3 linked regions of the Coturnix japonica genome follow. The protein of the gene in region 1 interacts with the protein of each later gene in a pairwise test. Links are inferred from orthologs where the notes say so. Each region holds a gene or a part of one and is shown on either strand. Other genes may lie near its edges. The genes, in order: APPL1, FSHR and ADIPOR1.

The links.
Region 2: the proteins of APPL1 (region 1) and FSHR interact in a two-hybrid assay, tested with the Homo sapiens proteins (2 studies listed by BioGRID). The link is inferred for Coturnix japonica from reciprocal best matches to the Homo sapiens genes APPL1 and FSHR.
Region 3: the proteins of APPL1 (region 1) and ADIPOR1 interact in binary tests that used the Homo sapiens proteins (3 or more experiments, as listed by UniProt). The link is inferred for Coturnix japonica from reciprocal best matches to the Homo sapiens genes APPL1 and ADIPOR1.

What each region holds. Positions count from the first base shown.
Region 1 is NC_029527.1:6,340,532-6,343,997, forward strand, and holds part of APPL1 (DCC-interacting protein 13-alpha), read left to right. Parts: intron 1-25; coding exon 26-172; intron 173-429; coding exon 430-480; intron 481-833; coding exon 834-923; intron 924-968; exon of another isoform or gene 969-1,489; coding exon 1,490-1,639; 3' UTR 1,640-3,466. UniProt on the Homo sapiens protein: Multifunctional adapter protein that binds to various membrane receptors, nuclear factors and signaling proteins to regulate many processes, such as cell proliferation, immune response, endosomal trafficking and cell metabolism.
Region 2 is NC_029518.1:9,165,446-9,169,096, forward strand, and holds the end of FSHR (follicle-stimulating hormone receptor), read left to right. Parts: intron 1-1,191; coding exon 1,192-2,419; 3' UTR 2,420-3,251; downstream 3,252-3,651. UniProt on the Homo sapiens protein: G protein-coupled receptor for follitropin, the follicle-stimulating hormone. Through cAMP production activates the downstream PI3K-AKT and ERK1/ERK2 signaling pathways.
Region 3 is NC_029541.1:1,478,770-1,482,461, reverse strand, and holds the start of ADIPOR1 (adiponectin receptor protein 1), read right to left. Parts: upstream 2,917-3,692; 5' UTR 2,810-2,916; intron 2,724-2,809; 5' UTR 2,690-2,723; coding exon 2,543-2,689; intron 1,925-2,542; coding exon 1,808-1,924; intron 1,307-1,807; coding exon 1,135-1,306; intron 376-1,134; coding exon 189-375; intron 1-188. UniProt on the Homo sapiens protein: Receptor for ADIPOQ, an essential hormone secreted by adipocytes that regulates glucose and lipid metabolism. Required for normal glucose and fat homeostasis and for maintaining a normal body weight.

The sequences.
Region 1 (3,466 bases):
CTCTGTATTTGATCCTTTCTGGCAGTTTCCTTTGCCCTGTGTAGTCTTGTATGCTACACATCAGGAGAATAAGCGCCTCTTTGGATTTGTGCTTAGAACTTCAGGAGGGAGAGCTGACAGTCGACAAACTTCCATCTGCTATATCTTTGAATCAAATAATGAAGGGGAAAAGGTATTGGTGATGGTTATATTTGTATCCATTTTCTGATTCCAGTCGTTTTCTGACATGGATTCTAAGGTGTTAGTTCCATTCAGGCTGTCTATGGGATTTGTATGGGAGAGTTTATGTACTGAAAACAAGTTAATCCAATAGCTGAAGTAACTGTAAAATGCTTTAGCACACTATCGTACCTGATGTGGGAACGTGGCATGCTTTTAAAGGCATTTGTTAGATTCTTACAGACGATTTCAAATTTGATTTCTATTTAGATTTGTGACTCCGTTGGACTGGCAAAACAGATTGCTTTCCATGCAGAACTGGTAAGAATCTGTTTAGGGCACAGTATCCTTGTGAATGGAAGGGAGAAGGCATATTTAGAGTCTGTAATATTCTGTATTCTGCAGGATGCTTATAGATGCAGTAATGCTGTTGTGGAGAACTCAAAAGGATTTGTTTTATAGAATTTGAATCCAAGATAAAAAGATCTTCACCAGTATCTACCCTGGCACAATGCTCAAGATTGGAATCCACTCTGTACCTTTAACAAACATACCTGTCCATTAAAAGAAGCATAAATCAGGTGTCCCAGAAGTTTTGAACAAACTCAGATAAGCCCACAGCACACCAAGCCCACTGGGCAGTTGTTTCTTTTACTGTTATTTTTGCCCTTCAGGATCGAAAAGCATCAGAAAAGCAAAAAGAAATGGAGAGAGTCAAAGAGAAACAACAAAAAGAACTGACTAAACAAAAACAAATTGAAAAGGTATGCTCTGTTATTTTTAATACTATTTTTTGTTTTGATTTTTTTCCTATTTAGTCACTTTGTTTTGTAGCTTTGTAGTTCCAGCTGCAATATCACATTCTTTAGAACAAACAAACAGAGTATTGTGAAACCAAGTTATTGAAGTATTTTCTGTGCAAGTCCTGTATAATTTTGTATTTTAGTTCTTCAAAAGAGCTTTTCTGAGGAGATAAACAACAAAACTTCTTCATAGGGGGTATTTAAGAGCAGTGCTTGAAGGAACACCTATCGCAGACTGTCCCATACATGGCTGCAAGAAAACATCAGCCAGGCACTGACGCAATTCAATTGGAGATTGGAGCCTGCAGGGAGCAGGCTGTAGGCCAAGCTGTTAGTTCTGACCTGCTGTATTGTATGGATTACCACTAATAGAGGCGTTAAACATGTAAACTCTCCTACTGATGTCAGCTTTTGAAACCCAAATGTCCAAATCTTATTAGTAGTATTCTGTTTCTACCTTATGGAGCTTTAACTTGAGCATTATTTTTCTGATTTCCTTCCCTTTCCTCCCTCCTTTCTCTAATCAGGACTTAGAGGAGCAAAGCCGACTGATAGCTGCCTCCAACAGATCAAACCCAAGCAGTGGAGAAGGACAGTTTGTCGTCCTCAGCAGCAGCCAGTCAGAAGACAGCGATTTAGGAGAGGATGGAAAGAAGAAAAGGGAATCTGAAACCTAAGGTTGCCTAGTTCATTAAAATTGGAATCATGGATCTAAGTAAGGTCTACAAGAAGCGAAATCTAGGTGGAGGGTCTGTTGTATTATATAAAGACTTCACAATGTCTAGACCCTAATATGCCTTGCTGTTTCTTTCTCAATTAAGCGATTACCACTTTCATGTCAGTTTCAGTTCTCTTTTGTATGCCACATAGACATGGTAGCATCACCATTCTTTTTCTCAAAATTAGGTTTTCTCAAAGAATTCTCTGCAGGAAGGGAAAAAGATGGATTTTTCTTTTTTCCATTTGCCCATCTGTGCAATTGACTGCTTTGGAAACGAAACGTAAGTTCTCACTGAACTTGAGTAGTACTGCAATTTGTTCATTACACTGCAGCGTGTAGAACACCTTGCTGGAAACAAAAGGGAGTGTCCAGATAAGACAGTATGAAACAAAATCTGCACTGTGTGGTACCGTCTTTTTTTTGGGGGGTGAGGGGGATTCAAATGCAGAAGGTTTCCTTGAACAGGAGATAGAAATAAAAGACTGCGCTATTCTGCATCCTATAGTCAGTCTCCTAATGCATTTTTCAAAGCAGTCTCTGTTTATACCTCATAAGCCTGAACTCCATGGCCCATACCCTGTGTAATATTTATTTTGTATAATACTAAATGTGCATTCATCTTTTGATCCAGATGAGAAAACGTGTTTGAAGTAAGAAGAAATATTTATTTTTGCACTAATTACTATAAATACTAAACTCCAATGGAACAGATGTCTCTCTAATAGTGGCCTGAGCATAACAGAAAATGTAGAAAGAGAAGAGTATATTCTAAGATGTTTTATAACGGTTAAGAGTGTTTTACAGTTCATTGCAGAACATTTCTAGTCTTTGGCTTTCAGCCCAGCCCTTCATAGCTAGAATTGCATGGTGCTGGTTAAGTGAGGGATTTCAGGACCTCTGTGCTAGATGGCTGTAGATGCATAAAAGGAACACTGTCCTTAATTGCATAGAAGTTGTTTTGCGTAGGCTAACAAAGGCAACCTCCTTCTGCTTTTTATGCTGGAGATAGATAGGCATTTCTATGCAGCAACCAACTGCATCTGCCTCCTGTCACAGGAGAGAAAAGGGAGCATTGCTCTCACGGTGCCACTGACACCACAGCATAAAGAAGGGATCTAACACCTGTGGAAGTGCTCACAGTATTTGAAAGAGGAGGTGGAGTGGGAGACTGAGCAAGAGAGAGGCTCCAGGTTCTCTTCCTTCTGTTTCAGCCCGTTCATCCTCAGAGCAGCCAGTAGCTTGCAGAAGTACCTGCTTTTGCTGTTATCCAGTCAGGCCATGTGGCATCAGCCTGCGACCAGATGTTGCCTTGTAGTGTCACATGGACCATACACATCTAAGGCTTTAAAAACAAACAACAAAAAACAAAAACTTAAGTGGCATTTACTTCCTGTCTGGTCTTGTAACCTCATCTGTAAGAGGCTACTTTCATTCTTTTCAACAGAAACGTACAGAAAGGCAGCAAATGCTTTTCTTTCCTTTTCCTGCCTATATCCAGTTGCGTGGCAGCCAGTTTATCTCTACAAGTTGCTTCAGTTTATGTTTCCTTCTCTTGGATATTTTTTTTAATGTAATGATTTCTACTTTCTATGAAACAACACGCCAGCACAGCCCAGATTTATAAAATCAGTGAGGTTGAAAAGATGACTAATATCATCCAGTCCAACCTTTAACCTCCAAACTTACTGTGTCCTCCTCAAGTACACACAAAGATAAATTAATTCAGCAACAGCAAAGAAAATATTAAATCGGTGGTCCTCAGTTCCAAGAATCTGGTCACCTA
Region 2 (3,651 bases), on another chromosome or scaffold:
TCTAAACAGTAAGTGAAAGTAGGCAGAGCAGAACTGTGTTTGCTTTGCAACACATTGTCAACTGTTTTATTTGAGAATTCAAATCAAGTTCGGATCTACCTTTATGCAAACCTATGGCTGTAAGTTTCTGGAACAGCAAAACTTTGATGTTCTACAAGAAACAGTTATTTAAGGCCTTTATTTCTTACCTCAATGGATCTGATCTCAGACAAAACATTTGTGTCTTCCCTCGGTCTACACATGGAGAAGAAGGGTTCCAAATGAATCCTCTAGAAAATAAAGCCAAACACAAAGTAACTAAATTAAAACAATTATAATAATAATAAAGACAATCGAAGAAAAAAAATTTCTTGAAACTTTTCCATTTTTTCCCACTGAAAATTCTCAAAACATTAAAAAAAAAACCCAAACCATTCTAACAGTGGTTGTGGAAGCTAAGGCTTCCCTTCACTCCTTCCTTTCACTTCACTTTCCTTGAGAAATGTGGTTGAAGCAAAATATTCTGCCAAGTCTACTACTGTTATCTGTGATGGTATCTGTCTTTCAGAGATTATCTGGAAGCCCTGCTCGCTTCATGCTATTTATTTGCTTTAATGGCCAGTGACAAATATGATATTAGATATACTCAAAATGAATGGCACACACTGCAGATGCTCTGTGCCCTGAAGGAATTTTGGTTTTCAGTACGACACATTGACTGCCAAAAACTTCAGGAAAAAAAGGAAGTAATACTGATGAACAGGGGAGTGATTCAGGCTCCTTTCCTTATAGGCCACACTGAATTGATTCTTCAGAGTCTGGTGTTATGTAGGACATCATGTGTTTTCCCCATGTAGAATCACCTTCCCAGTGACAGAGAAATATGTGAGAAATAGAGCTGAAATAAGGGAGGCTTCTTACTCTGTCCAGGTGGATAACTGCCTCAAGATTGCTAGTAAGGCAATCACCAGGATTTCATTCCCATATGTTTTATGTTTGAAATTAATTTACAGTATCATGTAATGTTATATAAATAGGGACCTATCAATCCATTGCTTTCAAGTTCCAGGCAAACCTTTACAATCAGCTAACCAGAAGAACCGAACTGCTGACGTAAACAGTGTGATTCTGTGTTTGTTGTGAGCCTCATGCTGTGTCTCTTAGTTTACAACTCTGCTTTTTCTGTATGTTTTTGTTTTTTAACAATTTCAGCACGGAATTATACCCAATATGTGGCATATCTCAGGCTAAGCAAGACCTCGCTGAACAGACTGGCAAAAAGAAACGCAGACGATCTGCAGCTGAAGATTACATTTCCCATTATGGCACACGTTTTGGCCCTGCAGAGAACGAATTTGACTATGGCTTGTGCAATGAAGTCGTCATTGTGGCTTGCTCACCCAAACCTGATGCCTTCAACCCCTGTGAAGATATCATGGGACACAATGTTCTGAGAGTTTTGATATGGTTTATCAACATTCTAGCTATCACTGGGAACACCACTGTCCTAATTATTTTAATAAGCAGTCAATACAAACTCACTGTACCTCGCTTTCTAATGTGCAATCTTGCATTTGCAGATCTCTGCATAGGTATCTATCTGTTGTTTATTGCATCAGTGGATATCCAGACCAAAAGCCAGTATTACAACTATGCCATAGACTGGCAAACTGGGGCAGGATGCAACGCTGCAGGATTTTTTACTGTTTTTGCAAGTGAGCTCTCGGTCTACACGCTGACTGTGATAACTCTGGAAAGGTGGCATACTATTACATATGCCATGCAACTTAACCGCAAGGTTCGACTTCGGCATGCTGTGGTTGTAATGATTTTTGGCTGGATGTTTGCTTTCACAGTGGCACTTCTTCCCATATTTGGCATCAGCAGCTACATGAAGGTCAGCATCTGTTTGCCCATGCACATAGAAACACCATTTTCTCAGGCTTATGTTATATTTCTTCTAGTGTTGAATGTACTCGCCTTTGTGATCATCTGCATCTGCTACATCTGCATCTACTTTACTGTGAGAAACCCCAATGTTATCTCTTCAAACAGTGACACCAAAATTGCCAAGCGCATGGCTATATTGATCTTCACAGACTTCCTCTGCATGGCACCAATATCTTTTTTTGCAATATCAGCTTCACTCAGGGTTCCTCTCATCACGGTGTCCAAATCCAAGATCCTTTTGGTTTTGTTTTACCCCATTAATTCCTGCGCTAACCCTTTCCTCTATGCCATTTTCACGAAGACTTTTCGCAGGGATTTCTTCATTCTGTTGAGCAAGTTTGGTTGCTGTGAAATGCAAGCCCAGATTTACAGAACAGAGACTTCCTCATCTGCTCATAATTTCCACACAAGAAATGGCCATTACCCTAATGCATCAAAAAACAGTGATGGGACTATTTATTCACTGGTTCCTCTGAATCACTTGAACTGAAATGCTTGCATGAATTTGTGTCTGAGGCAGTGTGATAATCACTTTCAACTATTTGAATAATGACTTCAACATAGCATGCAAACGTATTTTTTTATGAGAAAACATTTCTATTTCCACTTTGCTTTTTTGTTCGTCCTCATAGATGACACATAATCTTCATTAGTTCTTGAAGGACAAAGAATGAGACTGCAATATACGTCAAAGTGTCCTTGTAGAATTGTGTCCAGAAATAAATGAGCTTACAAATGCATATCTCCTACTATACAGGCAGAGAATCCCCTCAGTCTAGGAAGATGTCAGATGCTTATTGAGAATGAAGTAATAGTTATATGTGGTCAAAAAGGAGGAGGAAAAAAAAAAAGTAGAATTACTTCTGTTGTCTGTAAAATGTGTTGGAACAATGGCAAATAATATTAACCATGTCTTCTGAGATTACAGGAGACAGAAGCCCAGTTTAATGCGCCCTACGACTGCGTTGATCGAGATAGGTGGGCCCAAAGGATCAGATTTCATATGAATTTCTAACAGTTTTGTTCAGCTTAAGTTCTGTTTTAGAAAACGAGAGAGGAAAAACAAGAGCAGAAGGAATCCTTCATAACAATTATTTTTCAATGCGGTTTAATAAAGTTGGGTTGAAACTGCTTTTGCAGGGCTGGATCCCTGGAGTGGGGCAAGGTGAGCCAATGGGTACTCTTTGAGAGTGTAAGAGGCACTGTAGGCCTGTACCATCCCTTCATGGGACACTGATCCATTTATAGCTGCTTTCAAGGTAGCTGTTCGTGGTTGGTTTTTGTTTTGTTTTTAACTGAAAAAAAGCAGTGTAAGAAAAAAATGCAAGATACATTTTTTTAACTGAAAAAAAGCAGTGTAAGAAAAAAATGCAAGATACATTTTATTCATACCTGCAATGCCCAAAAAGCCTCCTGGTTTCTCCTCAGCACTGAACAGTGTGTTTTATGTGTGTAATCTTTAAACTATTTTGCATTTTCCATTCTGAAATCCATTTTAATAAAACCAATATCAAAACAAAGTGCCTTGAGAACAACTGTACGGTCAGAGATATGCTGATGAAGTAAGCAATTAATGTTACTGCTTATCTGGAGAGTTCCATTTATGCAGTGCAGCCTCCACAATTGGGTTGCAGTGACCTATGAATGAGACTTGCCTGATGAAAGCCTCCACAATGAAAAAACCTGCATTCTCAGAGAGTTAAGGAAGCACAGAAAGGTATG
Region 3 (3,692 bases), on another chromosome or scaffold:
CATTCCCTGAGGATATTAGAGCTGCTGCCAGATGCTGAGATACAGGACAGAGCCATCCCAGACCCTGCTCCTTCTGAGCCCCACACTGCTCCCTTCCCCTGAGAACAAAACCTCAGTGAATGCAGCACTCAGAGGGGAAGTGCTGTGAGAAGTCAGAACATCCCGAGACCGCAGCGGTGCTGACTCACTTGGAAAAAGTCCGTGAGACCTTCTCTGAGTGACAGTAGACAGTGTGGAAAAGCCAGGAGAAGCTGAGGCACAGCACCGCCCCGAGGAAGAACATCCCGAACACAACCTTCTCCTGGAGAGGAGCCATGAAGTACATGTTGGGCCGCAGCATGGTCAGGATCCCCAGGCAGAGGAACAACACAAAACCTGCAGTATATACACAGCAAACGGGAAGTCAGACAGAGGAACATCCAGCATCGACAGAGGGAACACAACAGATGGAGGATCCCTGAGACAGGCTGAGAACGCTGGCAGCAGCACAGGGAAGGTGGTAAGGGATACAGGGGGGGGAAGAGGCCAGCATGGCAGGCACAGAATCAATGCCTGGGGGTCTCTGCCTTACAAACATGATGCCTCCTTAGTAGAGCAAAGAGCCAGGAGAATCACAGAGGCTGCACACATCCTGGCTTTCAAGGAGAGGTTTTATGAGACACTGTTTTGCCCAGGACACATTTCTCCATCCCAGGAGCAGAAACAGCTGACCTACAAGTGCTGTGCAGTGGGAGCAGTCTGGCCACAGCACAGCCAGCACCTGAAAACCCTGAGCCTCTGAGTCCCCATGCAGGCCAGAACTCTGTAGAATGTCCCAATCCATGTCCAAATGGGGCCATTGGCTCTTGAAAAGCATAAATGACACCACTGAGCTCAGGTCTCAGTGCTGCTGTGAGGGACTGTCCCTATTCTCCCTTCACTCTGAAGCCCAGGAGCTCCCAGCCTCCAGCAACTGAGCTGCCTCCACGTGCAGAACCAGAGGGGTACGTGATCCTAAAAGGAAGGCGGTGGGCATCAAGTAAATCCCTTGGAGCAAACCTGTCCTTCAGAGGCCACCCCTTGCCTCAAGCATGGGGGCACAGCACACCTCCAGCCCTACAGAAGCTCTGAACAACCACACACCCCCCCCCTCACCTAGCAAGTGAGTCCAGATGTTGCCTGTCTCGGTGTGTATTCGGAAGATGCTCTTGAAGCAGGCTCGGAAGGACGGCATCGGAGGTCGGTGCCCGTGCAGGAGGTAATCGTTGTCCTTCAGCCAGTCGGGCAGCACATCGTAAGGGATCACACGCCAGCGCCCTTCCCATACCTGCAACAAACCAACTCGTGTTGGTGGCCACCAGGGCTGGCAGCAGCAGTGATACAGCCCAAAGGTTCAAGCTGAATCACCCTGGGAGCTCAAACTGCAGGTCTTGCCTACAGAAAAGGCCCCAAAACTCTCCTCTGGGAGAGGAACTTTGGCTTTCACAACACCCCGTGGAATCCCTTACACCACCCACATCCTGCGCTGCACTTCCACATCCCCTAAGGAGCTGCAGACAATGGGCAGCGTTTAACCCTTCAGCACACCGAGTCTGCTCCCAGCACTGGAGGATTCCCTTTAGCTTTAGTCCTAAAATGAAGCCTGGCTGACAGAACCGTGCAGGGCCTCATGTATTGCCAAACATGGTGACCACGAGCACCAGGTCTGAGCAGTGGCACCCAGCAGCATTTCAGCTCCCAGGCACTGACAATGAAGCTGCTGCTGCTCCTGAAGCCCAGCAGAGCTGAGCACAACCTCCAAAGGAGGGATCCCACGAAGCTCCCATACCTTATACACAAACTCCTCCATCTTCTCCATGGCGTGATGAGCCTGCAGGGGCAGAGTCAGCACACGGACCACCTCCTCCTCTTCCTCACGGGCCACCGGGCACGGCGGGTCTTCAGCCTGGACACAGAAACAACCCCAGAGGGAGAAAGAAACCCCAGAGGGAACCATGGGGGGCACAGGGACCCAGAGAGCAGCCGGGGCTCCATCCCATCCCATGGGGTCGCCCAGGACCCACCGCTCCCCATCACTTATATAACTGGCTCCAGCCTCAACCCCGTCAGGCTAATCCCGGCTTGATCCCGGTTTCAAGGTGGTTTTACAACGAGGGATTTTCATCCTTCCAACCAAACTAAAGGAGACCCCAGGGCTCAGCCTGGAGCCCCCCGGGGCACATTGAACGGCCATTAGCAGCGTCATGAGCTACGATCCGTTTGGGGCCCAAACCCTCGGGGCACAAACCGATCCCGGTTGGATTAACGGAGAATCACGGCACCGTTAAAGCTGGAAACGACCTCCCGGATCCCCCCATCCCGATCCGGTCCCTCCGCCGTTCCGAAGCATCCAATATATCCCCGTTATTGGGCACAGCGGCTCCTAACGCCCCAACCGGGCACATATGGGACACATACCGGACACATACCGGACCATACCGGTCTCATCCCGGTCACCCCGCCCGTCCTTTACCGATCCCGTCGTTAACCGGTCACACCGCCCCCCCCCGTTCCCGCTCCTTACGCTGCCGTTCCCGGCCGTTCCCCGCTCTCCCTTCTCGTCCAGCAGCGGCCCCAGCTCCGCCAGCTCCATGTGGGCCCGCTCCCTCCCGGTTGCCGTCAGCCCGTTGCCCTGAACGGCGGCGGCGGCGGCGGCTTTCCGGGACGCCATAACGGCGGAGACGATCGTGGGCTCCGTCCGCGTCCTGAGGAGGAAGAACGGAGTGAACGACACCGGAACCGACCCGACACCGGAACCGGCCCCGCGTCCCGGAGCGGCACCGACACTCACCGGCCGCTACATCCCGCGCTGGGCGGCGGCGGCGGCACCGGAAGCGACGCTGAGGGAACGGGCCGCTTCCGGCCTCCAAGCCCCGCCCCCACTGGGGTCTTGCAGAACTCGCGCTATGATTGGCTGGAGCTGCTGCCTGTCTCTCTCCTCTCCCACACAGCCGCCCGCTGCGATTGGCTGAGCCTCACAGCTGGTGGGAGACGCTCTAGCGTGGTGGTGCCGTCTCTCTGGTCGCGTCCTCTGCTGCCCCCTGCAGGCGGGGAGTGGAATTGCACGGGGTGCGCAGCGCCGGGGGGGCGCACCGGGAGGCACGGAGCGCGGTGCTGTCACCGCATCGACACGGCATGGACCGGACACACCGGCCTCGTCCTCCCGTCCCCTGTCCGTCTGTCCCCCGTCCCGCTCTCTGTCCATCCCAGCGTTATCCGAGCTCCCAAAGGCGTCGAGTCCTCCCCCGCCATGTGCGGGCAGCCATCACCGATGCCCACGTTGCCCTCGGTGCCGGCTCGTCTTTCCGTCCAGCTTTAATTACCCCCGGTGTCTCCCCGCTGCCGGATCCGGTTCCCATCAATGATTCATACCGGGCTGTAGGACGGGGTTCCTCAGGCTCCACGCTGGGACCGGGGGGGATTTTCCGACCTTTCTGGCATTAAATCGGTGCAGACGGTGGTTGGAGCTGAGCACCGTGTCCCCCCGGGGTGAGTGATGGGGCTTTGGGGGGGCAGAGGCAGCATGGAGCTGTGGGGTGTCGCCTAATGGGGGTCAGGAGCCCATCGGGGTGTGGGGAGGGGCAGAATCCCTTCCATGTGTGTATCCCGGCTCCCTGTGGCTGCTGCCCCATGGATGGAGCGCTCCGTTCCACCCCACAGCTGATCCAGGAGCA